Linked DNA regions of Schizosaccharomyces pombe. The protein of the gene in region 1 interacts with the protein of each later gene in a pairwise test. Each region holds a gene or a part of one and is shown on either strand. Other genes may lie near its edges. The genes, in order: mrp17 and phx1.

Region 1 (10,912 bases):
ATTGAATACAGTGTGAACATTTCACAGCAAACTTAAACCGTAGTGATTACTCATAAATAAATTCCGTTTATTATTTAGCAAGGAATCTTGAATAATTTATTTATTCGCGATTGTTTGGGCTTTGTATTTGTAAAGATCTTTTTACCGATATGACCTACAGGTTATCGTTGTATTGAATGTAGCGTTTCGTTACTGCAACGAAAGTGTTAGACGCCTATCCTTTACCTACTCCACCAGAATAAATATATTATTAGAAGATGGTAAGATAATTAGCTGAATACTTCTAGTCCTCTTTTTTATTAACAAATTTGATAGGCGGGAGGAATTGAACTGGCCAAGAAGGCTATCAGGAGCCTCAAAAATTACGACGAGCATGAAAACCGATATGGATCTATTTTCAGCGTTTCTGGTCCTGGTAAGAAATCGTTAGTTGGAGCTTTCTACTAAACATTTACAGTCGTTGTTGCAGCCAATATGCTTGGATGTTCGATGTACGAACTCGTTCGCGTTGGTCATGAAGAACTAGTTGGTGAAGTAATTCGTATCCATCAAGATAAATGTACTATTCAAGTATACGAAGAGACGTCCGGTCTCACTGTTGGTGATCCTGTCCAACGCACTGGAAAGCCATTATCTGTTGAATTAGGTCCTGGTTTAGCTGAGACTATTTATGATGGTATCCAACGTCCGTTAAAGCAAATTTTCGACAAATCTCAAAGTATTTATATTCCTAGAGGTATTAATACAGAATCACTTAATCGTGAGCATAAGTGGGATTTCACACCAAATAAGGATTTACGCATTGGCGATCATGTATCCGGTGGTGATGTTTTCGGTTCTGTATTTGAAAACTCTCTTTTCAATGATCATAAAATTATGTTACCCCCTAGAGCCCGTGGTACCGTCACATATATTGCTGAAGCTGGATCATACCATGTTGATGAAAAACTTCTTGAAGTCGAGTTTAATGGCAAGAAACATTCTTTTAGTATGTTGCATACTTGGCCTGTCCGTGCTGCTCGTCCAGTTGCGGACAACTTAACTGCTAATCAACCTTTATTGACTGGTCAACGTGTTTTGGATGCGTTATACCCCTGTGTTCAAGGTGGCACTACTGCTATCCCCGGTGCCTTTGGTTGTGGTAAAACAGTTATTTCACAATCTCTTTCTAAGTACTCTAATTCTGATTTGATTGTTTACGTCGGTTGTGGTGAACGTGGAAACGAAATGGCAGAAGTGTTAATGGATTTCCCAGAACTAACAATTGATATTAATGGTAAACCAGAGCCCATTATGAAGCGTACTACATTGGTAGCCAACACTTCTAACATGCCTGTCGCTGCTCGTGAAGCTTCCATTTATACCGGTATTACACTTGCTGAATATTATCGTGATCAAGGTAAGAACGTTTCAATGATGGCTGATTCTACATCTCGTTGGGCTGAAGCTTTGCGTGAAATTTCTGGTCGTTTGGCTGAGATGCCTGCCGATTCTGGTTATCCCGCTTATTTGGGTGCCAAATTGGCTTCTTTTTACGAACGTGCTGGTCGTGCTCGTTGCTTGGGAAGTCCTGACCGTGAAGGAACAGTTTCAATTGTTGGAGCTGTTTCTCCTCCGGGTGGTGATTTTTCTGATCCTGTTACTAGTGCAACCTTGGGAATTGTTCAAGTCTTCTGGGGTTTGGACAAGAAATTGGCCCAACGTAAACACTTTCCCTCAATCAACACCTCTCTTTCCTATTCTAAATACATCAATGCTTTGCAACCTTGGTATGAGGAAAGAGTTCCAGGCTTTAATACTCTTCGTGATCAAATCAAACAGATCATTCAACAAGAAGATTCCATGTTGGAAATTATTCAGTTGGTTGGTAAGTCGGCTCTTTCTGAAACGGATAAAGTTACTTTGGACATAGCCGGTATTATTAAGAATGACTTCTTACAACAAAACGGTTATTCTGATTACGATCGCTGTTGCCCTCTTTACAAGACTTATCATATGATGCGAAACATGATTGCTTACTACACAAAGGCTAAAAGTGCCGTTGAAACTGGTAGCGTTCCTTGGTCAAAGATTAAAGAAAGTACTTCAGATATCTTTTATGAGTTAACCTCGATGAAATTCGAAAACCCTAATGAAGGCGAGAAGGAAATAGTCGAACACTATGAAACTCTGCACAAGAAGATTGAGGACAAGTTTCACACTCTGACTGAGTAATTATTTTTTGAACAACTAAGTTTTTAATTCTAGTTTTTGCTGGCTATAGACTACTAGCTTGATAATACAGACTTCCAGTAAACATTGCTTTCACGTTATCCAAATATATGTCCTAAGTAATTTTGCACATTAAATCGCGAATCAACCGCTTCTCGAAATAATATATTTACACAAATACAAGCCGTCTTCAACAAACTCTTTTGAAGAAATAAATTCAGTGATATAGTCAGTAGTTGTAAATTATGAGAAAAACAAAATAATGACTAGAAGGGATAGTAATAATAATAATAATAATAAAAACAGTAATAGTAATGACTAATCAGATTTAACTTTTTAAGGAGAAAAAGTATCTTTTTGGATATATCGTTAATAAATAAATAATAATCAGTTGAACAATCAATCATCCCCGTCACGGTCAAAAATATCCCAAAAATCTTGCTGATCCAAGTCTGCATCAGACAAAAAAGGAGACTTCGTTTCAGATGAAGAATCATTGGTGGAAGGCGTAGTTTCCTGGTCGTTTTTTAAAATTTCCTGAGCAGACAGGTCTTCAGCTGGATAATCGTGGTTGGAGGAAGAACCTCCAAACATAAACGGAATATTCAGTCCCAGTGCTGGGCCACCATGAATACGGCTAAAATAATCAAAATCAATAGTGACAGCACTGCCTAGCATAACTGCCCTTTCTTCTAAACTCATATCACGTGCACAAACATCATTAGCGATTCCATGAGCAGCTTGAAGCAATTGATTTTCATTTACAGAACCATTGGCTGCACTCGTAGAGGTAAATCGAAGAACGTAATTACCAGTATCAGTAAAAAATTCACGAGGAAGCCCCATGAAATTCCGTGAAACACTACCTAGGATGCGATCCTGCTCGTTTCGCAACAGAAACTCCCAACTTAGCACTCGCTCATCAATTTTGGCAAACTGTTCAAACATAGAACGCTTCGCAAGGAACAATTCATAGCGACGGCGCCATAAATGCCATTTTTGAAGGACTTCGCCAACTAAAGTAGACGAGAACTTACTGTAATCAATAGAATGAATTTGTAACCGGGAGTTTATCCAAGAAAATGGTCGATTGAGTTGTAACACCAACTGGCCGTTACTGTCCATTACATCTGCCTTAAACGCACGATGTGTGTGGAAAAATTGTCTTGATAAACTTGATAATATGGATGAGGCACCCTGTTCTGCAATGTATCCAAGATGCTGACCTTGTTGGTTAAGAATTACATAGCGGTTAGCCTGTTCATAACCAAGAAAAACATTCATCATTTCAAGTTGCCTCTCTACTATAAGAACATCTTGTGATAATAAAGGGGCCGCTGGAGAATTTAATGGAATAGCTCCAGTACTGCTAATGGCAGCAGGCTCTTGAGAGACTACTTTCGCTGTAGCGTCAATGTATCGTGTAGATTTGCTATGATGATAAAGGCGACATCCAAACCGTTTGAGCCCATAAAGCATAGTTAAATGATTACTGGAGACAAAGGTTTGAATTGGAGTAATGTTAGCCCATAGAATTTCAAGCATAGGTTTGAGAAATTAAAATTAGTTTGTGGTTCACCTATACCACAGAGGGTTGCTGAGACAAATATGTAATAAAGGCTGTGTAGTAAGTTTCACAATTTAAAATAGCACATACTATGCGATTACCTTAAAGCTTTACGAAATATAGGATACTACATTAAATTGCTTATGAACAGCTAACATTGCGGTAATTTCCTGTTTACTTTTGTTTACATTGAGAATTCCGAATTCTATAATTACCAACTAGACACATCACAATGATTGCACTTGAAAAACTTTCAGAAAAGAACAAAAGGAGCACTAAGAAGTGTGAAATTTCCATTTACGTAGGGAATTTACCTTCAACGTGCCAAAGCTCAGATCTTCATGAACTGTTTGAACCTTTCGGTAATCGTATATGAATAAACAATTTTTTCTCTAACTGTTTAAGGTAATTTCTCAAAATTCCACATGCTAAGTAGAAAGAAGAATAAGAGTACTGACTCTAAATCCCCAACTTTATTTGCATTTATCACATTTGAAAACAAATGTAGCGCTGACAACGCAATTGCCTCCTTAAACGGGAGTTCGTTCCAAGGAAATACTTTGTACGTAGATTTTAAAATAATAAACGCTAATAGAGCAACAATTATAGGAAGGTCGAGTATACGCATATCGTGGAGAGATACAAAAATAAGTTGGAAAATGGAGTTGACCAAATTCATCACTCGAATAATGAAAAAGCAAAAATTCGGTTTTCAAAAATAGAAAAGTATACAAAGGAAACACGACCGACAGTATCAGAGGTTCGAGTTAGTACCAAAGACAAAAAGGAATATTCGATGAATACCTCAAATTTAGTTCAATCAAACCCCCCAAAAGTGCACGACAAAGAGAATGCATTTGCAGAAGCAACAGGAACTAGTATACTTAGCTCAAAAGCAGTTCAAACACTCTTAGTTTCAGATTTCACGGAGAATGAGCCAAAGCATCTGTCTATCAGGCCAAATTGCAAAGATAATAATACACCGTCCATTTCTAACACTTTTATTGAGCCATATAAGGAAAATAACACGGAACATTTACACCTAAAATCTGCTTTTGAACCCTGTCAAATGATGCCAGGTATGCTTCTAGAACAGAATCCCCAATTTTTGTACGACAACCCTTCTATTTTTGTGATTGGGATTTTAAACCTTCCGTTGAAAGTATCACCAGTCGAGCTTTACAATGAGTTTAGCAATCATGGTCACATTCTCGGTGTAGCCATCAATCAAAGCATAAATGAAGATATGACTCACTACGCAGAAGTGGCTGTGAGCACCTATGAAAGTTGCATAGAGGTATTAAGCAAGCTATTTTTTGCTATAGCATTACTGACCTTTTAATTTAGATCATTGAAAAATTTCACGCCATTGCGTATGAAGGATCCATTTTACAACTTTTTATAAAACAACCTGTTCAGGGATTTTGCTCTAATTTGTTAAATCACCCAGAAGGAACCATGACAAATTTATTGCCCCCAAATATGGAAATGCCTCAGCCGTTTGAAATTCCAGTGATTGCCAAAACTTCTGCTTTGCCAAATCCATTTATTTCATTCCCTTCTTTCCAAACATCGTATGAAACGACAGTAACGCCAACACCAACCTCAACACCGACAATTGATCCTTGTAATTTATTTGTTAAAAACTTGGATGATAATATAGTAGGAAACACACAACAATTAGAAGAACTGTTTTCGAAATTTGGAAGGATAAAATCTTGCACTTTAGCGTCGTATCCCAGTACAGAAATATCCAAAGGCTATGGTTTCGTATCCTTCAGTCATCCATTTGAAGCTGTGCAAGCAATTAACACGTTAAATGGAGTGTTATTCGGAAAGAAAAGATTATTCGTGAATTATGCAGAAAAGAGAGAAGATCGCAAAAAGCGACTGAGTGCTATATTTAGCCAATCTTACCCTCCAGTTGTTCCATCGCCCTCTCTAACAATTCCAATGGCTACTGAACCACAAATTTTAGAGTATCATCAGGAATGGCCTCAACCTCTAATACAATCTATACAGCAGCACGGGTATAGCGATCCTAGACAAACATTACCAACTCGTTTAGATTCATGTGCCGCTAAGCTACGTGAAGCGGTGATTTCAAACGAAAACCTAAACCCAAGCCATAAATTCGGCATAAAACACTCCACATTCAAAACTTCACTATCGCCTTTAACCAACATTGTATTAAACCAATAAATAAAAGCAAGATATGTCTAAAGGACATAATATCAGTACCTGTCGTTTAAATATTTTAACAGTTCTTTTTTTTAATCTATCTCCCATGAAATTTAGGGACATAGTATTATACAAAGAAGATCGGAAAAAGTTGAAACACAAGGAGTCGTTAACAACGGTTGAAATTTCACATTTTAGCTCTGGAAAAGTATGTTTATTTTATAAAAGAAGAAAAGAAGAAAAAACCCCAAAAAAACAAGAATAATAAAAGATAATTGGACAGCTCTGCGAATATTTTTATTTTCTCAAAATATGAATACGCTCATTCTACATTAAATCACTCAATCTACACAAAAGGAATTAGTATAATAAAATAGTTTATAAAAAGAACATACTTATCTGCTTTTTTGACGATCATATAGCGAAGAACCGAAGGTTCAAGTCTCAGAATCCTCTGTATCTCAGATTGAACTGTGGGGTTACTGTAAAAGGTCATAGACCACCAGTGACCAAAAGAGTAAGATTGATTTAGTTTTTTTATAGGTTTAGCCAGTTCCTTAAGTCCCATGGACTCAACATCAACGACCACACCTTTGTTATCCAGGATTGCTCGACCACAATTTTTGGCAATATTCATGGCCAGAGTCTAAATTTATTAGTTCATGAATTCAAATTGTAAAACAGTATCTAGAAAGTAATGAGATAATGACTATCGCTTTGTGGTTCTTCAAAAAGCAAAAACGAGGTATTACCGCTAACTTACTGGTGAGGAAGTGCGTGTTGCATTTGCAGCTGGCCTAGTTATACAAAAAAGTTCATACATAACCATTATATTGCTATACTTTTCAAACTATCAAGAGTGCTTGTTATCGTGTGACCTTTTTACTAGCGTCTGTAAGTGAGAGGTTTGGCGGTACGCTAGGAAAAGAAGAGGTTTGAGTTAAGCACTAAAAACTTCTGTTTCGTAAATTACAGTCTAAAAAGAAAAGAATATATTAACATTAAAGTAAATATAAAGCAAACGTAAAGGAGAAAAACACGAAACGTTTGGGTCGTATATTTGTTACTTAACTTATTTAGCAAGATTCTCTTTATTAGATGAACGTGAAATTTACCAACTACAAGCAGTTACCAACAAAGGATATTTACAGCTATTAGCAGTATATCATCAAAGAAATCTTGATTTTTTTTGAAAGAAGATTGATCGAAAGAGTCAAACACGTTTTAGTCATCAATTGACTTCACATTTCTACTTGTTTGTTCTACAGCTAAAAAAAACACTACAGAACTTGAAATCTTTCTTCTCTTTTTTTCAGAAGTAAAATGGATAGGGAAGATATCTTAAAGGAATTTTGCAATCGCAATAATATTGACGTTAGTCAGGGCCGTTTTTTTTTAGAGTCCACGAATTGGAATTATGAATTGGCTACTGCACTTTTACATGAAGTAATACCTCCTGAAGAAGACCATGGGTTGCAACCTTCCAGTGATGTATCGAAAGTTCCTGAAGTTACTGGAAGCTCAAGTGGAATCAGTGGTGGTGATCAACAACCACCTCGACCGTTGCAAAGACAACAAAATACTCAAGGCCAAGGAATGAAGTCAGGAACTGCATCAAAAAAATTCGCCACGCTTAGGGATTTAGAGGGAAATGATGAAAGTGCAGAAGAGAAATCACATCTCTTTACTGGTGGTGAGAAGAGTGGGCTTTCTGTAGAAGACGGTGATCCTGATCCAAAGAAACAGTTGGTGCGCGATATTCTCGAAAAGGCACGTCAACACACAATATCTCCTTTAGATGAGCAAGATTCAGGTCCTTCTAGTCTTGCATCGTCTTGGGCTAGTGTCGGACAACGATTAGGCACAGAAAATGAGGCTTCTGGTTCGACCACTCCTGTAACGCAGTCAGGTCCTCCGCGTGAAAATCCTCCTACTGAGAGTCAACCAGAAAAGCCTTTACGTCGTACTTTGTACTTTTGGCGAAATGGTTTTAGTGTAGACGATGGTCCTATCTATACATATGACGATCCCGCTAATCAAGAAATGTTGCGTTATATAAATAGCGGTCGAGCACCTTTGCATCTTCTAGGAGTATCTATGAATCAACCAATTGATGTTGTAGTTCAGCATCGGATGGATGAGGATTATGTAGCGCCGTTCAAACCTTTTTCAGGCAAGGGACAACGTCTCGGTTCTACCTACATGCAACCACGAATGTCTCAAATGCCAGGTGGTCTTTACACTGATACTTCTACTTCTTCCTCTGTTCCTATAAATGTCAAACCCAATTCAACAACTCCGCATGCATCTTTACAGATTGACGAAAATAAACCCACCACGAGAATTCAAGTACGCTTATCAAATGGTGGAAGAACTGTCCTTACTGTCAATCTCTCGCATACACTTCATGATATCTATGAAGCTGTACGCGCCGTTTCACCAGGCAACTTCATCCTTTCCGTACCTTTCCCCGCAAAGACTCTCGAAGATGATCCGTCTGTCACTGTTGAAGCTGCTTCATTAAAAAATGCCTCACTTGTTCAAAAATCTCTGTAGTCTAAAAATAATAGGAAAAATAGTGATCCCCAGTTGACATAAGAGCCGTGGATTATTATATGAACATATGTGAGAGCTATTGAATATGGGAAGCATATTTCGGGTTGTCAGAAATCTGATTTCTATTTCTGAAAGGAAACCTTTTATTTATTTAATGATGTCCTATTAAATCATCAAAACAATTTCCAAGTTTGAGTATTTTATTGGTTATATCAGGATATGTAGCTCAGAGATAGTTGAAAACCGGAATTAAAAGTTATCACTATTATGGTTATTAATAAACATCTGTAGTTACCAAAGGACCTTTTTGAAAACATTGATTTTAAAAGAAATGCTATGATATGCTATCAACGTGGCACTAAGTATTAGCAAATTGACCTAAGATATACATAAACAAAAACTATTATTCATGAATGTAATTCCCATCAAACAATAATTAATGTTGGAGTTTGAAATATCAACCAACTTTTCTGCGCAAATACGTTTAGTCTTTACTGTTCAGTAAACCTTGACACAAGCAGTTAAGCATTGCAGCAAAGTCTGCTATTGTTTAGTGTAGTACTAATTTATGGGTTATTGTATTTATAGTGATGTTAACCAAAATTTGTAAGAAATCGTTACTACATCGAATCCATGATTTGATTCAACTTATCGCGAAGAGGGCATTTCCTAAGCGCACACCTCAAATACCTTCAATTTTGCTTCGATATCCCTAAGCAATCATGAAGATTGTTGATTTGATTGATAAAATTCCTAATGGAAACGCATTCTACTCATTTGAGTATTTTCCACCGAAAACCACAGTCGGTTTGGAAAATCTTTCTAGTCGTATAACGAGAATGTCGCGAAACATGATGCCATTATTTTCTAGTGTAACATGGGGTACAGCTGGTTCTACTGCGGAGGTCTCAATTTATTTAGCCAAAATGCTAGAGCAGCATCACAAAATCCCAGCTTGTTTACATTTGACGTGTACCAATGTAGATAAAGCCATAATCGATAAGGCTCTCGAAACTGCTAAGGAATATGGAATTCGTAACATCTTGGCCTTGCGAGGTGACCCGCCTTTAAATAGCGATCATTGGGAAGGAAAGGTTAGTGAGTTTGAGCACGCGGTGGATTTAGTACGATACATACGTGAAAAATATGGAGATTACTTTTGTATAGGTGTCGCTGCTTATCCTGAAGGTCATGTCGATTCCAACGTTCCGGAGCTGTCTAAAGATCCGTTACGAGACATTCCTTTCCTGATTGAAAAAGTTGAAGCTGGCGCTGATTTCATAATTACTCAAATCTTCTACGAGCCCGAAGCTTTTATTAAATTTGAAAATTTTGTTAGGAATCATAGCTCTAATGCTTTACGAAATATTCCCATTATTCCCGCCATTATGCCTATTCAATCCTATGGAAGTCTTAAAAGAATGACTCGTCTTTGTGGTTGCAGTGTTCCCTCTTCCTTAATGCAGCGCCTTAATGCAGCTAAACCAGATGATGAAGCTATAAAAAACATTGGTGTCGAGCACATAGTTGATATGATTAAAAAGATAATGGACAATGTGCAAGGCCGGGTGCATGGATTTCATTTTTGCACACTGAATTTGGAACGATCCGTTGCTCTTATCCTTAAAAACAGCGGTTTGCTTACCAAACGTTGGAAACAGGTTGAGTCAGAGATGGAGGATGAGAAATTGCTTCGAACAACCCGCAAACGTCTTAGCCTTGATGAACCCGCGGAACTTCATAATCAAGTAGTTGTTCCCTCTCAGCAACCAGTTGCCGACAAATCGTCGAATCTTTTCGTAACTTCTAAACAAAGTAGTGTATCTGGCCACAAAGACAATTTAACCGAAGAAGCACCGTTCTCCGTTTCTGAAGGTAGTGGAGTTTTAGGTCGTCAAGCAAATTGGGACGATTTTACAAATGGTCGTTTTGGCGATCCACGCTCCCCTGCATATGGTGAAATTGACGGTTATGGTCCAACATTACACTTTCCTCCAAGTGAAGCATTAAAACTTTGGGGATATCCGGTGGATGAATCTGATATCACTTCTTTGTTCCAGAAACATATTATGAGTGACATATCAGCAATTCCATGGATTGATGAGCCTGTTGAAGTGGAAACGAAAACTATTGCGAAGTATCTTTTAAAACTAAATGGTAATTCTTGGTGGACAGTTGGAAGTCAACCAGCTGTAAATGGTGCTCCATCTGCTGATCCCGTTTTTGGATGGGGTCCCAAAGGAGGAAGAGTCTTTCAAAAAGCGTTTGTTGAATGTTTTGTCAACGGTAAAGATTTGAAGGATTTTATTACGAAATGGCACGACAATCCTCAGGTTACCTATTACGCCGGAAATAACAAAAGCGAATTCCTAACAAACGCTCCCAAAGATGGTGCAA
Region 2 (12,555 bases), 800 kb from region 1:
TTTGACGAGATGAAGCTTAGTGATAAAATAGATGACGCCAATTCATTAAAAGATGATGATTTCATACAAGGATCGAAAAAAGATTTTTTTGAAATGAATCTCAATCATTCATCCTACCAAAACAAGGACGAGCTTAAACCTTTTCAATTATTAGTTAAACATGCGTTCAAACCGCCTTCCTATAGACTAATTCGTCCTCCGCTACGCGATTGGCAGTCCTCTGATACACTGTCCAGTGAAATGTCTAAGTCGATTTCATCATCTCGAAGCAGTCCATTTTCTTTAGAGCAAACAATCTCTAAAATTCAAAATAAATTATAGGACTTCTTGTAATGAAACGCTTATTCTTTTGATCTCATTTGGCTTAATCTTACTAATATATTCTACGACTTACTATTTTCATTTTATTTTTAGCTTTATTTTTATATAACGAATAAAATATGTACAACCTATTTTCCTTACTTATTCCGACCAGCGATGTAAAATAAGTTAAATACGACATGTACAGAATACGGTAATAAAATGCTATCATATTATAAAGTTACTTTTATAGCTAGAATTGACTCAGGAATTAATGAAAAAAAATTTTGATTAATAAATAAAGATAATAACAATTCGTTCTCAAATTAAAACTAAACAACGAGAAAAAGGTTAGTAAGTTTAAGACACGCACATTAGTTAAGTTAGGCCACGGCGGGTGGCTGATTATACAAAATGCGGTTTTTACGGGGATCTGTAGAATTTAATAATTCTATATCATGCTGGTCGTCGCCAAAACTCGGTATTGAAGAGACAGCGACGCTAGCTCTTTTCTCATTAACTGCAAGTGGAGGTAACGGAATTTCTGTTACATTTCCTTTCACTATTTGATCATTCAAAATAGTACGGCTTAAAGTGTCATGACTAAGTGGATCCTCAGTTGACCTTTGGCGCTCTTCAGAAGAAGTGTAGGTAGTATAAGTACCCTTGGAAGCTGGACGGTTTTTATGCTTCTCTTTTTTCAAACGACTTTCACGCGATTTGACACTACCCTTAGTTCTCTGATAAAGCCTAGAACCTCTGTCTGTAGCCCAAGGGCTATCGCTGTCTTCTGAATCATCGACTCCAAATATATTGAACGCAGGAGAATGCCAAGTGGATCCGGAAAGCGCAGCCCTTCTCTTTTCCTCACTACGCTGTAAATTACCTGATGGCAAAACTATGTTATTGAGCGCAGTATTTTCTTTGTGCAGGGCAACCCGAACTTGAGAATCCTTACCCTTTTCTTTACTGGATTTATGAAGATTGGAAATCCTTGAATATGCCACCCTACCATACACCTTGAGTTTTGATTCCTGATCTTCTGTCGGCTTGGAAGAATCTTTTTCTATCTCAGATTTGGCTTCCTTATGTATTTCGTACCATTCTCTATCGACTTGTTCAAAAGCATGACGAATTGAAAGCTCCATGGACCTTGCTACGGTAGATCTCACGTATGTCATGAGTGAGGGCTTTAAGAAAGCGAGTAATAACCTGTGCCTTGATTTACGAATTTTTAGCTTAATGTGATGTATGTCCACCTTCACGTCCTCCACCTTAAAAAAGGAATCCGGAAGTTCGTTTTCAAACATAGTATTTGAGAATGATGAGAGTGTCAAGTTCACGACCATGCCTTGCTTACCAATTAACAAATCGACAACTCCAAGATCAGTAAAGGTAGGGAAGCCTTGCTTGCGCTTAATATAGTAGTTGACGTCTTTTAAGTCACACTGGATGTTTGAGAGATGAACGTTTATCATGTTTTCACGGAAAGAAGTAATATTAGCATACGGGGAGAACCTCACGAAGTTGTTATTCCTAAATTCGGCTAACTTGGGCAAAACATTCGCGGTTTGTAAATTAAGGTTTTCAAGAACAACGTCGAAATCAGGTTGCTCAATTTCCAACCTAGGTATTGGGAAATATTGCATCTTTTCCAAGATAACGGGTACCCCCAATCGAAGTATCTCCAGGCACATGGAAGTTTTCAAAGAGATTTGTCCTCCTTCTCTCTTAATTAAATCGCCGTATATATTTTTATAGTTGCTAAATAATTGCTTGACATCCTTGTCGGAAGAAGCACTATCGGAAATCTTTTTGACTTCGGATGAGAGTTGTTGCCAACGTTTCTTGTACCGACCGTTAAGCAGTTCATCGCCTTTATCTCGCAACTTGTTAAATTCTTTATCCGAGGCATCACTTTTTGCATAGCCCTTTTTCAAAAGCACCTTGCGAACAAACTGGCGGGTAGATTCTAACCAGTCTTTTAGTTCTTCATCATTCTCAGCATCATGCTGTACTTGTTTTAAGGTGTCAATCAAATTATCAAGAGATCGATTTAAAATGTTTTCCACGAGTTGCTTCAAATATTGCATAGCACGATCGTAATGTTCGTTAGTGTCAGCAGTAACATTTCCACTCTGTTCACTGAGTTTATCGATGAACTTGTCAATTAGATTCAAAAGACTGCGAACAGGATGCTGATATTTTGGATCTCCCTGCAAATCCACAGCGACAGATTTAAACTCTTCGTAAAGATCTTGAAGTTTTTGTTTGGTTTCCTCTTTAGCCTTTTGCGCATCAGGATCATTTTTAATCTTATCTTTGGCCTTGCTTCCTTGTTCGCGAGCTTGGTCGCGTGCGGAAGCTCCATTTCTCATGTTTTGCTTAACTTTGTTCACTCCATTGCGAAGGTTATCCGATTTTTTTCCATCCTGCTCGTTCAATTTTTTACTGGCAACATTCGTTGTTTGCTGGCCCAAAAGTACAATGGCGTTTTGCAAAAGCGTTCGCAGTTTACCATTGTTAAAGATGAGCAAGAACAACTGCTTCAGGTCCTCGGTACTGAAATCTTGACTTTGCATATCTTCGGTGATATCATTCCAAACCTCATTAACATTTGTAGAGCCTTCAGCTTGCGATAATTCATAAATTGCGTTTTGGAGCAAATCTCCTTCGTTCTTTTTCGCAAATACATTAAAGCTATTATCAATAAGCTTGGAAAAGTCACTAAAAAATTTCCGAGCCGGATCAGAGATTTTCTTTTGCCTCTCTTTGGCAACGGATTTCGCACCGTCCGTCAGCGACGAACCGAGCCCTCGAAGCTGTTTGTTCGAGGGCATCTTGCCGTTCGAAATAGCTGTCCATATTGAATAAACTTCTAATCCTTTTCCAGTTTCCTCATGCACAACATGCTTGTCAGTGGGATAAGCAACCGCCATACTTGCTCAACGACTAATGCGAAAAAGATTAGCAGCAATTAATCACTTAATGATAGTAACAAGCGAGACACGTCAGCTAATATCAGATGGTTACAAGTGTAAAAGTGATAAATAAACAAGACTGAAGATATCCTTTCCTCTTCAGCACTCCAAAATCAGGATTTTACAGTAAAAACCTCTTGTTATGGGATAGACAGACACACAAGTGCGATCAATCAAACAAATAATCAAATGTCGCTTTGATGGAATCCTCCTTAAGTAAAGAGATATATGGTTTCGCTTTATTTTCCTAAAATTCCTTGTCGCAACTTTATTTCAATTCTGTACAAAGATTATAACTTTATAGGACCATGGCGACATTAAATACATTTATTTAAAGCCTTTACGTTATGACTATCTCAGCCATACTCGAATTAGGCTGTGGCGTCATGAAAACTTGCATAATCATCTTTACTTACGAAGTATTAGTGTCAATCCACTCTCCTGTTCATAAAAGAATGGCTCATATGAGAATGGCTACTCTAGTAATGACAGGTTCAAGAATACGTGCATTCTCGTCATTAAGACACTATATTGACGTTCAACCGTTTCATGTCCAAAACTATAGTGTAGTTTGAAGAAGTAAACTACGTCATGCGCTAAATATGTGATGTGGTTATATATTGCAGTAAGTATCGCTATTTACTGGCTTGCTACATATTGTTCTTCATTATTCGGTAAACAGTGGAAGAAGAAGGGCTGGGCTGGCTTACTTGTTCTTGTTAGTTGATCGATTGGTCGCAATGTTCAATCGATATATGGAAGGCGTTTCTTTCACTTCTTTTTCTCTTTTTTGGCTTTCTTATTGTTCGGAGAATTTCCGTATCTTAGAGTGTTTCAGTATAATCAATCATCTATCTAATCTGGTGTGTGCTGCTTTAGCTTCAGCTTATAGGCATCAGCAAAAAACAACATCACCTTCAAAGTAGGCGCCCGAAATCATTGTTCATATTTTTGTCCTATACTTTTGTACTAACTGATAAAAATTATTTTATAGATATTAAAAGCAAATCTTATATATTTGTCACCTCCAAACAATTTTTTTATTGATATTCTCCATTCATGAAACATAAATTCATTCTTATAATAAAACAAAATAAATTTTAAGAAAATGAAAAAAATATATATTACGAGCTTAGTCTAAATACATTCTAATATACATCTTTAAAATAAATTTTCTAATATTATATCTTAACAATTATTACTTTGGTTCATTCAATTCTTTGCTCATCTCAAAAAATTATCTACTAGTGAAATGTTTATTTACACAGAAAATGACTATATATGGCATGCACCTCTTAAAAAAAAGGCGGACAGCTTCGTTGATGGATTATGTTTCAAAGAATCTAATTCTACTAAATTAACTCATAATGCTTTCAAAATTATTATAGTTTATGTGCAAAAACTGTGATGCTGAAACGTTCCCGCTGGAAAGGAGAAATAACGAAAATAATAATCGTCCTAAATGTCAAATTAATAAAAAAAAAAACATGAAAATAAAGTAATAATATACATGAGGAAAAAGAAATTATTCATAACTTAAAAAGAGAAATAAATGGTAAATAAAAAAGTTTAAAGTCGCCAAAAAAATATGTGTCGGCTAAACATGCAAAAACTCAATAATCCAACTCACGCTCGTGGGTACGATACTGTTCAAACTCCATTACATTTTTTCAGTGGAATTTGGATTCGATCATTGACGGAGTTTCTTCAAATGAAATGCTAGGATCATTAAGTATTGCATACACGATACAACAATATGTAATACCTCCTATCGCTTTGGAACATAAAATAAAATAAAATTAAAGAAGTAAAAAAAACATAAACCATACATAATCGTATATGAAGTGCCTTGTAGAGGTCTTTTATTTTTTTTTTCGCATCAAAGTTCTTCCCAGACAATAATACATGGAAGCACAATTTTTTTCCATGGAATTGTATTTTTATCACCAAATTAAACATTATTCAAGAATACCTTGTATAATATAGATCAAAAATTAATCCTTTAAACCTTTTAGAGATATTGATGAATTTATAAAAACGTAAGCGGTCATAAAAATACAAACGAGGCATGTAATTTTCAAGAGTTAAACATCTTCTCGTTATCAAAAGAAAACGAAAATAAGCAAGCTTCAAGCGAGTTTCAATTGTACCGTTAATCATCATATCACAAAATTTACTGCATGTCCGGAGAAAATTGTTGACCACGAAGTTTCTGAAAATCTATACCAGCAGAAGGAGAGTAAACATCCTCAAATGGACTACCACTTTGGTCATGAGATAAGTAGCCCGAAGCTCCGGGTTGCGACGCATACACACCACCGCTACTACTTTTCTCAATTAAATTACTATCCTGTCCAGCAGATGATGCTAAAGGTATAGACGGTGTTTGAATGAATAACCGAGGAGCAACCCCAGCAGAAACAGATGAATTTGTACGGGCTTGCGCGTAAACAGACTCTTCAGATGGTACTTCAAATCCATACGACGGGACAGAGTTCTCAGTAGCAAGGGAGACATCTCCAAATGGTACCTGAGATAACTGTTGACTTGGTGCATTCATCGTGGTGGAAATTGAAGAAGAGCCAATGCCGCCAAATTCTCTGTTTTGAGTCGTAAATGGGACGGATACGTTTGTGTTCATTGACCATGAATTTGGAGTGAGACCACCAGTTTGTGAATTGGGAAACTGCGCTGCCATGTCTTTTATTTCCGTGTTAATACCTTGTGTATTTGGATGCATCACAGGTCGGCTTGGTGAATTGGATGCTCGAGGAAGTGAGCCGACATCGGATGGTGCCGATAAAGGATATGATATATTAGATGTGCCAAGCTCACCAAACTGCGTGTTATCAAGATTAAGCGCTAAATTATGGTGCGGATAAGCAGATGAAACTGAAGGCTCATAAGAGTTTAGTCTTGTAGAACTTCCTTCCAAAACATTAGCAGATTTCATTGCTTGAGTAATAGGAGACACAGATTGAGCATGCATAAGCCCTTCAGTATTAGTTTTCGGAGGTAAAAGATGCTGAGCCAAATCCTGTCTAGCAGGGGTTGAAGTGCTACGAAGCCTTTTAAACTGGCTTTTATTGCCATATTCAGAAGAAGTGTCATGAGACAATCCCTGGATAGGAGGGTTTCTTCCTTGATGATCAAATACAGAGCTATCAGGTTGTCTAGGAAGTTGATTAGCCCATTGAGGGTCCAAAAATTGGTGAGGATTAAGACCTTTTTGAAGGCGGATTACAGACCCCAACTCTGGCGATGCCCTTCGAACCCGATCGAGCATTTGAAACATGCTAGTAGCTCTTCCCATCAAAGAATGTAATAAAACTTCCGAAGCCTGATTACCCTCAGTAAAATCCGTACAATTTCCCTGTCCTTCGGAAGTGATCATGTGAAATACTGGTGGAACACTCAGCTGAATATCCATTTGAAGCCAATATTCATTTGGTGCCGGTTTATCTCGACTAGACGCAGTTGCACTCAACTCATTTAACAAGGGCTCCTCTACTCTAAAAACGTGTATCGACTCAATGACAAAAAAAGAATATTCAATACGATACTGAATCCCCTGGAATTGAATCAAATATGCAAATAATTTCTTTGGCGGAGAGTAGAAACACATTAAATCCTGAGGAGAGGCTCGTAGTCTTTTCCATAAACCAATTACTAGTAATGTACAAGAAAAGTAGTAAAATTCCGAATCATATGAGGTCGGTTCTGAAGAAGTACGCATGTGCCCTGTTGCCATATTAGGAGGACGAACAGGCCCTGATGCTTTGTATGATGAAGGCTTGGAATGACCGAACATTCTGTAACCCCCAGAACTAGGGCTCACTTCTCTAGGATAGGAGTAAAGATCTGACTCTGGTTGAGGCATACGGATGCCTGTAAGTGGAGTAGCATACGAAGAGGGTGGAGATTCTACGTCGAAAGCTTGATTTGATACCGACATAGCATTTGGGATTGCGGAATAAGAAGAGGCAGAGTATTTCCTTTGACTTGAGACAGGAACGGCATTTGGACTTAGACTATTGTAGTATGTACTAGAAAGAGACTGACGGATCGGAATGTCTGACTCTGCTATGCATGGCTCCATGGAAGATTGCATAGGTCCACTTTTCATATAAAAGTTTCCTGTTTTTCTAGTTGGTTTAGGCAATAACGTGTTCGCATACTGCCTATTAGCTGCTATTCCCCCAACGTAGGGACTGGTAGGTGAAGTAGACAATACTTCGTGCGCAAATGCTTGTGAAACTTTTTGATTTAAGGAATCCAATTCTCTCTGCTCACGAAGGATCCTTTGTCTTTCTTCTTCTTGACGTCTTGAAATGAGCTTTGATTTTGCTCTTCTGTTTTGAAACCAAATAGTTACGCTACGTTCCGGAATATTCAACTCGCGTCCAATTTTTTCCCTTATAGCTGGAGGTGGATTAGTATCTTTGGAGAATTCCCGAAGCAAATAAGCAAGTTGATCTGCAGTAAGGCGCTGTTTTTTGCTCTTTGGCGCAGAAGTAGATCCGCCGCTCTCAGGAGTACCACTTTCGTGAGCGACATTCTCCTTAGCTTTCTCAACAGATGTAGCTTCAACAACTTCATTTTGCTTTGAATTAGCAGGTTCCGACTCAGATTTAACAATATTAGGTTGAACTGGCGATGGATTCGTCAATTTCGAACTATTCACATTATCAAATGAATTATTATCTGCAAAACTCGGTGCATCCGGTTTGGGTTTCTCCTGTTTCCAATCTACTTTGTTTTCGTCAAATTCAGGAGGAAAATAATTAGGATTGGTAGGATTTTGCTGTTCCCCTTGAAGATGCTGCTCATACGTTGAATGGGGTAATTGCATGTTATTATCAGATGGAAACTGACCGAGAAAAGAATCCATGTCATAGTTGCTCAAGGACAAATTCTCCGGGAGCATTGTAGGTCGCTTCTCAGAATAATTAATATTGTCATTAATTTGACCACCATTTTCTGGGTTCGAATAACTACGCATATTGTTCTTAGAAATAAAATGAAATGAAAATAAAATCCTTATGAGAAATAAAAATTTGCTTCAAAAAGTATGCCAAGAAATGCAAATTGAATGGTGACTTTGGAAGATTAATTAAAGAAAGCTCAGAGAAATAAAATGATGTAAAAAAAATTAAATTGAAAGAAATTCCGTGGAATCTCTGAGTACTTGAGGAGACGCAAAAAACGTGAACCTGGTACCCTCGAAATATGGGGCACTTATGAAACCCCAGCCGCTGAATTTATTGTAATTAAAAACTTATCCTATCCAAAAAAAAGTTTGACCAGAAGAAAACCCTAACGAAATAAATTTGATCCCTTCTTGGAGGGGACTTCTCTCTTTAGCTTTTGTAGCAGAGATTGTAGCTATGTTCAGATACATAAGCACAGTGGACAAGCAATACCCAAGCTTTAAAGTCTCCAAGTAGAAATAATTAGTACGCCTTCTAGATCTTGAAAGAAACTGATTGACGAAAACTAAGAGACACGACCCTTTGTAGACAGAGGCTATCGATCCCTGGATATCTCACAAATGTCAAAACAAATAAAAATTGACTAAATGAAGAGATGAGTTGTCAAATTTGCCTAAAAATTAAATAATAAAAGTTTGCTAATTAAATGATAAAAAATATTGCAAAATTAACAATATAATTATTCCCTTCTCTTTCCCCAATTTTTCTTTCCCTTTTTTGTTATTAAAAAAATAAATAAACCAAATAATTAAAGATCCGAATGTAATTGAGATATTCGTTAACGTTCACTGCTAATAGATCGTTGCTGATTGCTCCTCTAAATCTAATGCAATAAAACACAACTTGAAATATCGTAAAGAGATGCAATTTCACTCCAATTTGATCCTTGCAAGAGCCTAATTAATTTCTGTCCTAATTTAATGAATTAAACAGAATGCTTATGGTTTCATAAATAATGTAGTTTTTATATGGTTGATGTGGTGGTTTTAATTCACATATCGCTCTTCACTTAACTAACCGAACAATTATATTACGAACTCTAACGTACTACCTTGCCTTAGAAACGACGCCCCCAATACATATTGGTAAATCCTTTAGTAAAGTGAATGAACGATCGATTGCTTCTAATGAGCAAGTCTTTGTTTTTAAGACCTATTATTTGAAGGATACTTTTGTCGAATGGGTACATCTAGGGTCATATGTAATTCATAGAATATATAGATAAATCATAATTTTGTCCTCAACTTTACTATTAACTATGTGGGGAATTGTGGAGAAACACTAATGTTACATTTACTGTCTAAACTGTAAGCGAGAATACTACCTATCTGAATATTGTAATATAAAAACATAGAAACATTACTAAATTTTTAAAAATTTGATCTGTACCACTTGTTTGATTTTATACTTTTTTTTCAATTTATTCTACGGGTAATGCTGTTTTAGGAGTGCGAACTTAAGTAATTGTAATTGGGAGTTTTACCATAGTTCAAAGATTTGTGACACTTTTTATTATTCAGTGCTAAAGACTTGAGTGGTCTTATTAGGCGAATATACAGAAAGAATTTTATTTTCTCTCCATAAACTGCTAACTTCAATCTGGAAGATTTGCTAATATACCAAAGATTAAAGCTTATGTTAATAGACTATGTCGCGACTCTAAAAAGCCAAAACCATATAAATTGAAAATACTACGACATCTTGCTCGTGCTGATAAATTGTTTTAAAACATTTTTTGCACTTGCATTGTAGTGTAAATAGGACATGATTCTCAAAATCATAGACTAAAGAAAACCGCTTTGTTGAATGTTCTTCTTCAGCATACACATAATTCTCTTAAGCCTTTGAAAAATTAGCCTAAGAAATTAAATCCACAGAAAACCTTTATTAGGTAAATAAGTACAGTATTATGTACAGGTTATTACATGACTACAACGCTATTTAAGGCTAGTAAATAGTAGAAGCAAAATTGAAATGATATTTATAGATAAAAAGAAATACACATATGTTTTGGTATAAAAAAGTTTAATCGCATGCGATGCTTGTATATCTATAGATCGCAACTCCGCTTAAGTTTACGGAGCCTTAATATAAATCAGAAAATCGTGAGTAGAACATTGCTTAAAAGCGAAGGTCCCATCCAATTTTAGGACCTAAAATAGGAAGTTGTTCAGCTACGCTTTGAACATCCTTGTCACCACGACCTGAAATGGTGATCACAATATCCTTATCTTTAGGTAACTTTTTAGCAAGCTCCATTCCACCATACACAGCATGAGAAGATTCCAAAGCGGGAATGATACCTTCAAGATGACATAGAGCGCGGAATCCTTCTAAACATTGAGCATCAGTGACAGCGATAAACTCTGCGCGATTGGTATATTTAAGTTCAGATAATTCGGGTCCCACACCTGGATAATCCAATCCAGCAGATATAGAGTGAGTATCTTGAATTTGTCCATCTTCGCGTTGCAGAACATATGTTCGAACTCCATGAAATACACCAACTTTTCCCATAGTCAATGTAGCACTATGTTTGGGGGTATCTACACCATCACCACCAGCTTCACAACCCAACATCATTACACTTTTATCGGCTTTGAAGGGAGAAAACATTCCAATCGAATTGGATCCACCACCAACACAAGCAACAACTGCATCAGGAAGTTTTTTACGCTTCTCTTGCATTTGCGCTTTCGTTTCCTCGCCAATGACACTTTGGAAAGTTTTAACAATGGTAGGGAATGGATGAGGGCCAATTGCAGATCCAATTAAATAATGAGTGGTGTCTATTTGTTCGACCCACGCCTTCAAAGCTTCGTTAACAGCATCACGAAGGGTCTGTGTACCTGAAGTAACCGGAACGACTTCAGCTCCCAAAAGACGGATGCGAAAAACGTTGAGTGCTTGACGACGACAATCTTCTGCACCCATGTAGATAGTACATTTCATACCAAATTTAGCGGCACAGATAGCAGTAGCAACTCCATGCTGACCAGCACCAGTTTCAGCAATGATACGGTTTTTTCCTAAACGTTTGGCAAGAAGAATTTGCCCAATACAGTTGTTAATTTTGTGTGAACCACCATGATTCAAGTCTTCACGCTTCAACCAAATATGGGCACCACCACAATACTCAGTTAAACGCTTAGCATAATCGAGGGCACTTGGACGACCCATATACTCATAATAAGAACGAAATTCTTCCCAAAACTTTTCATCATGCAAAGCCTTATAAAATACACTTTCAAGTTCAACTAAGCACTGGGTTAATGCTTCTGGAACATACATACCACCAAACATGCCATATTTTTGAGGAAGATACATTTCGTTGATAGGTTCGACCACAGCAGCAGGGGGGGCAGTAGCAACAGAACCACCGGATTGAAACTGTTTAGGTACAGGTGCGGATGGGTCTTCTTTAGTAAGATATTTACAATATTCCTCAACCACGGTAGCAGCAGTGCCAGGCTCTGCCTTCAAAATCAAATCGATAATTTTGCTTCCAACTACAACACCATCTGACACGCTGCCAACTTGGTGGAAATGTTCACTGGTGTTAACACCAAAACCAACTGCTAGAGGGGTATCTCCAGCAAATTTACGAACACGCTGACAGAGCTGAGGCAAAGCAGTATTGATTACTCCGGTAGCAGATGATCCTGTACTACCCATACGAGAAACAACGTAAATAAAGGAGTCAGCCACAGAGGCCAAGAGCTCCATACGCCTGTCCGTAGTAGAAGGAGCAACAAGAGGAACGAAACTAACACCTTGCTTTTTACATTCTTCTCTAAAGCCGACAGCCTCCTCTGGAGGAAGGTCAACGATGATGAAACCATTAGCGCCAACCTCCTTTGCCTTTTGAATAGTTTTGGCATCTCCATAACTGAAAATAGGATTGTAGTAACCCATCAAAATTATAGGGATAGTTACACCTGCATCACGAGCGAGCTTTACAGTTTCAAATACTTTTTCTAAAGTAATATTATTCTTCAAAGCAATTTCGTTTCCCTTGCAAATTGTAGGACCATCAGCGACGGCATCAGAAAAAGGAATACCAAGCTCAATTATTCCTGCTCCTCCATTTTGCAAACCTTGCATAATTTTGATAGTTTCATCAACATTAGGAAAACCGCAAGTGACAAATGTCACTAAAACATTTTTGTTTTCTTCTTTTGCTTTGAGAAACGTTTTTTTAATCTGCTCTGTCATTTTTCATGAGTTTTGCGATAGTCAAAAAAATATTGGCGGTGGAACAGAGATTGGAGGGACCGACAGAA

What was found.
Region 2: the proteins of mrp17 (region 1) and phx1 interact in a two-hybrid assay, tested with the Schizosaccharomyces pombe proteins (one large-scale study listed by BioGRID).

What each region holds. Positions count from the first base shown.
Region 1 is NC_003424.3:1,647,002-1,657,913, forward strand, and holds mrp17 (mitochondrial 37S ribosomal protein bS6m), read right to left. Parts: upstream 6,856-10,912; 5' UTR 6,789-6,855; coding exon 6,723-6,788; exon of another isoform or gene 6,606-6,722; coding exon 6,355-6,605; intron 6,306-6,354; coding exon 6,287-6,305; 3' UTR 5,981-6,286; coding exon of another isoform or gene 5,126-5,980; 3' UTR 5,076-5,125; coding exon of another isoform or gene 4,388-5,075; 3' UTR 4,341-4,387; coding exon of another isoform or gene 4,184-4,340; 3' UTR 4,141-4,183; coding exon of another isoform or gene 4,011-4,140; 3' UTR 3,922-4,010; downstream 1-3,921. Other genes in the region: vma1 (V-type ATPase V1 domain-containing subunit A), read left to right, coding at 258-260, 316-415, 458-2,214; pls1 (phospholipid scramblase), read right to left, coding at 2,611-3,756; mug28 (RNA-binding protein Mug28, implicated in mRNA processing), read left to right, coding at 4,011-4,140, 4,184-4,340, 4,388-5,075, 5,126-5,980; UBX domain-containing protein Ubx3, read left to right, coding at 7,283-8,515; methylenetetrahydrofolate reductase Met11, read left to right, coding at 9,238-10,912.
Region 2 is NC_003424.3:2,447,265-2,459,819, forward strand, and holds phx1 (DNA-binding transcription factor, stationary phase-specific Phx1), read right to left. Parts: upstream 9,255-12,555; 5' UTR 8,284-9,254; coding exon 5,455-8,283; 3' UTR 4,529-5,454; downstream 1-4,528. Other genes in the region: protein mug8, read left to right, coding at 1-321; SPOM_SPAC32A11.02C (uncharacterized protein), read right to left, coding at 684-3,239; trp2 (tryptophan synthase), read right to left, coding at 10,394-12,487. UniProt on the Schizosaccharomyces pombe protein: Trnascription factor that regulates the expression of the homocitrate synthase (HCS) lys4.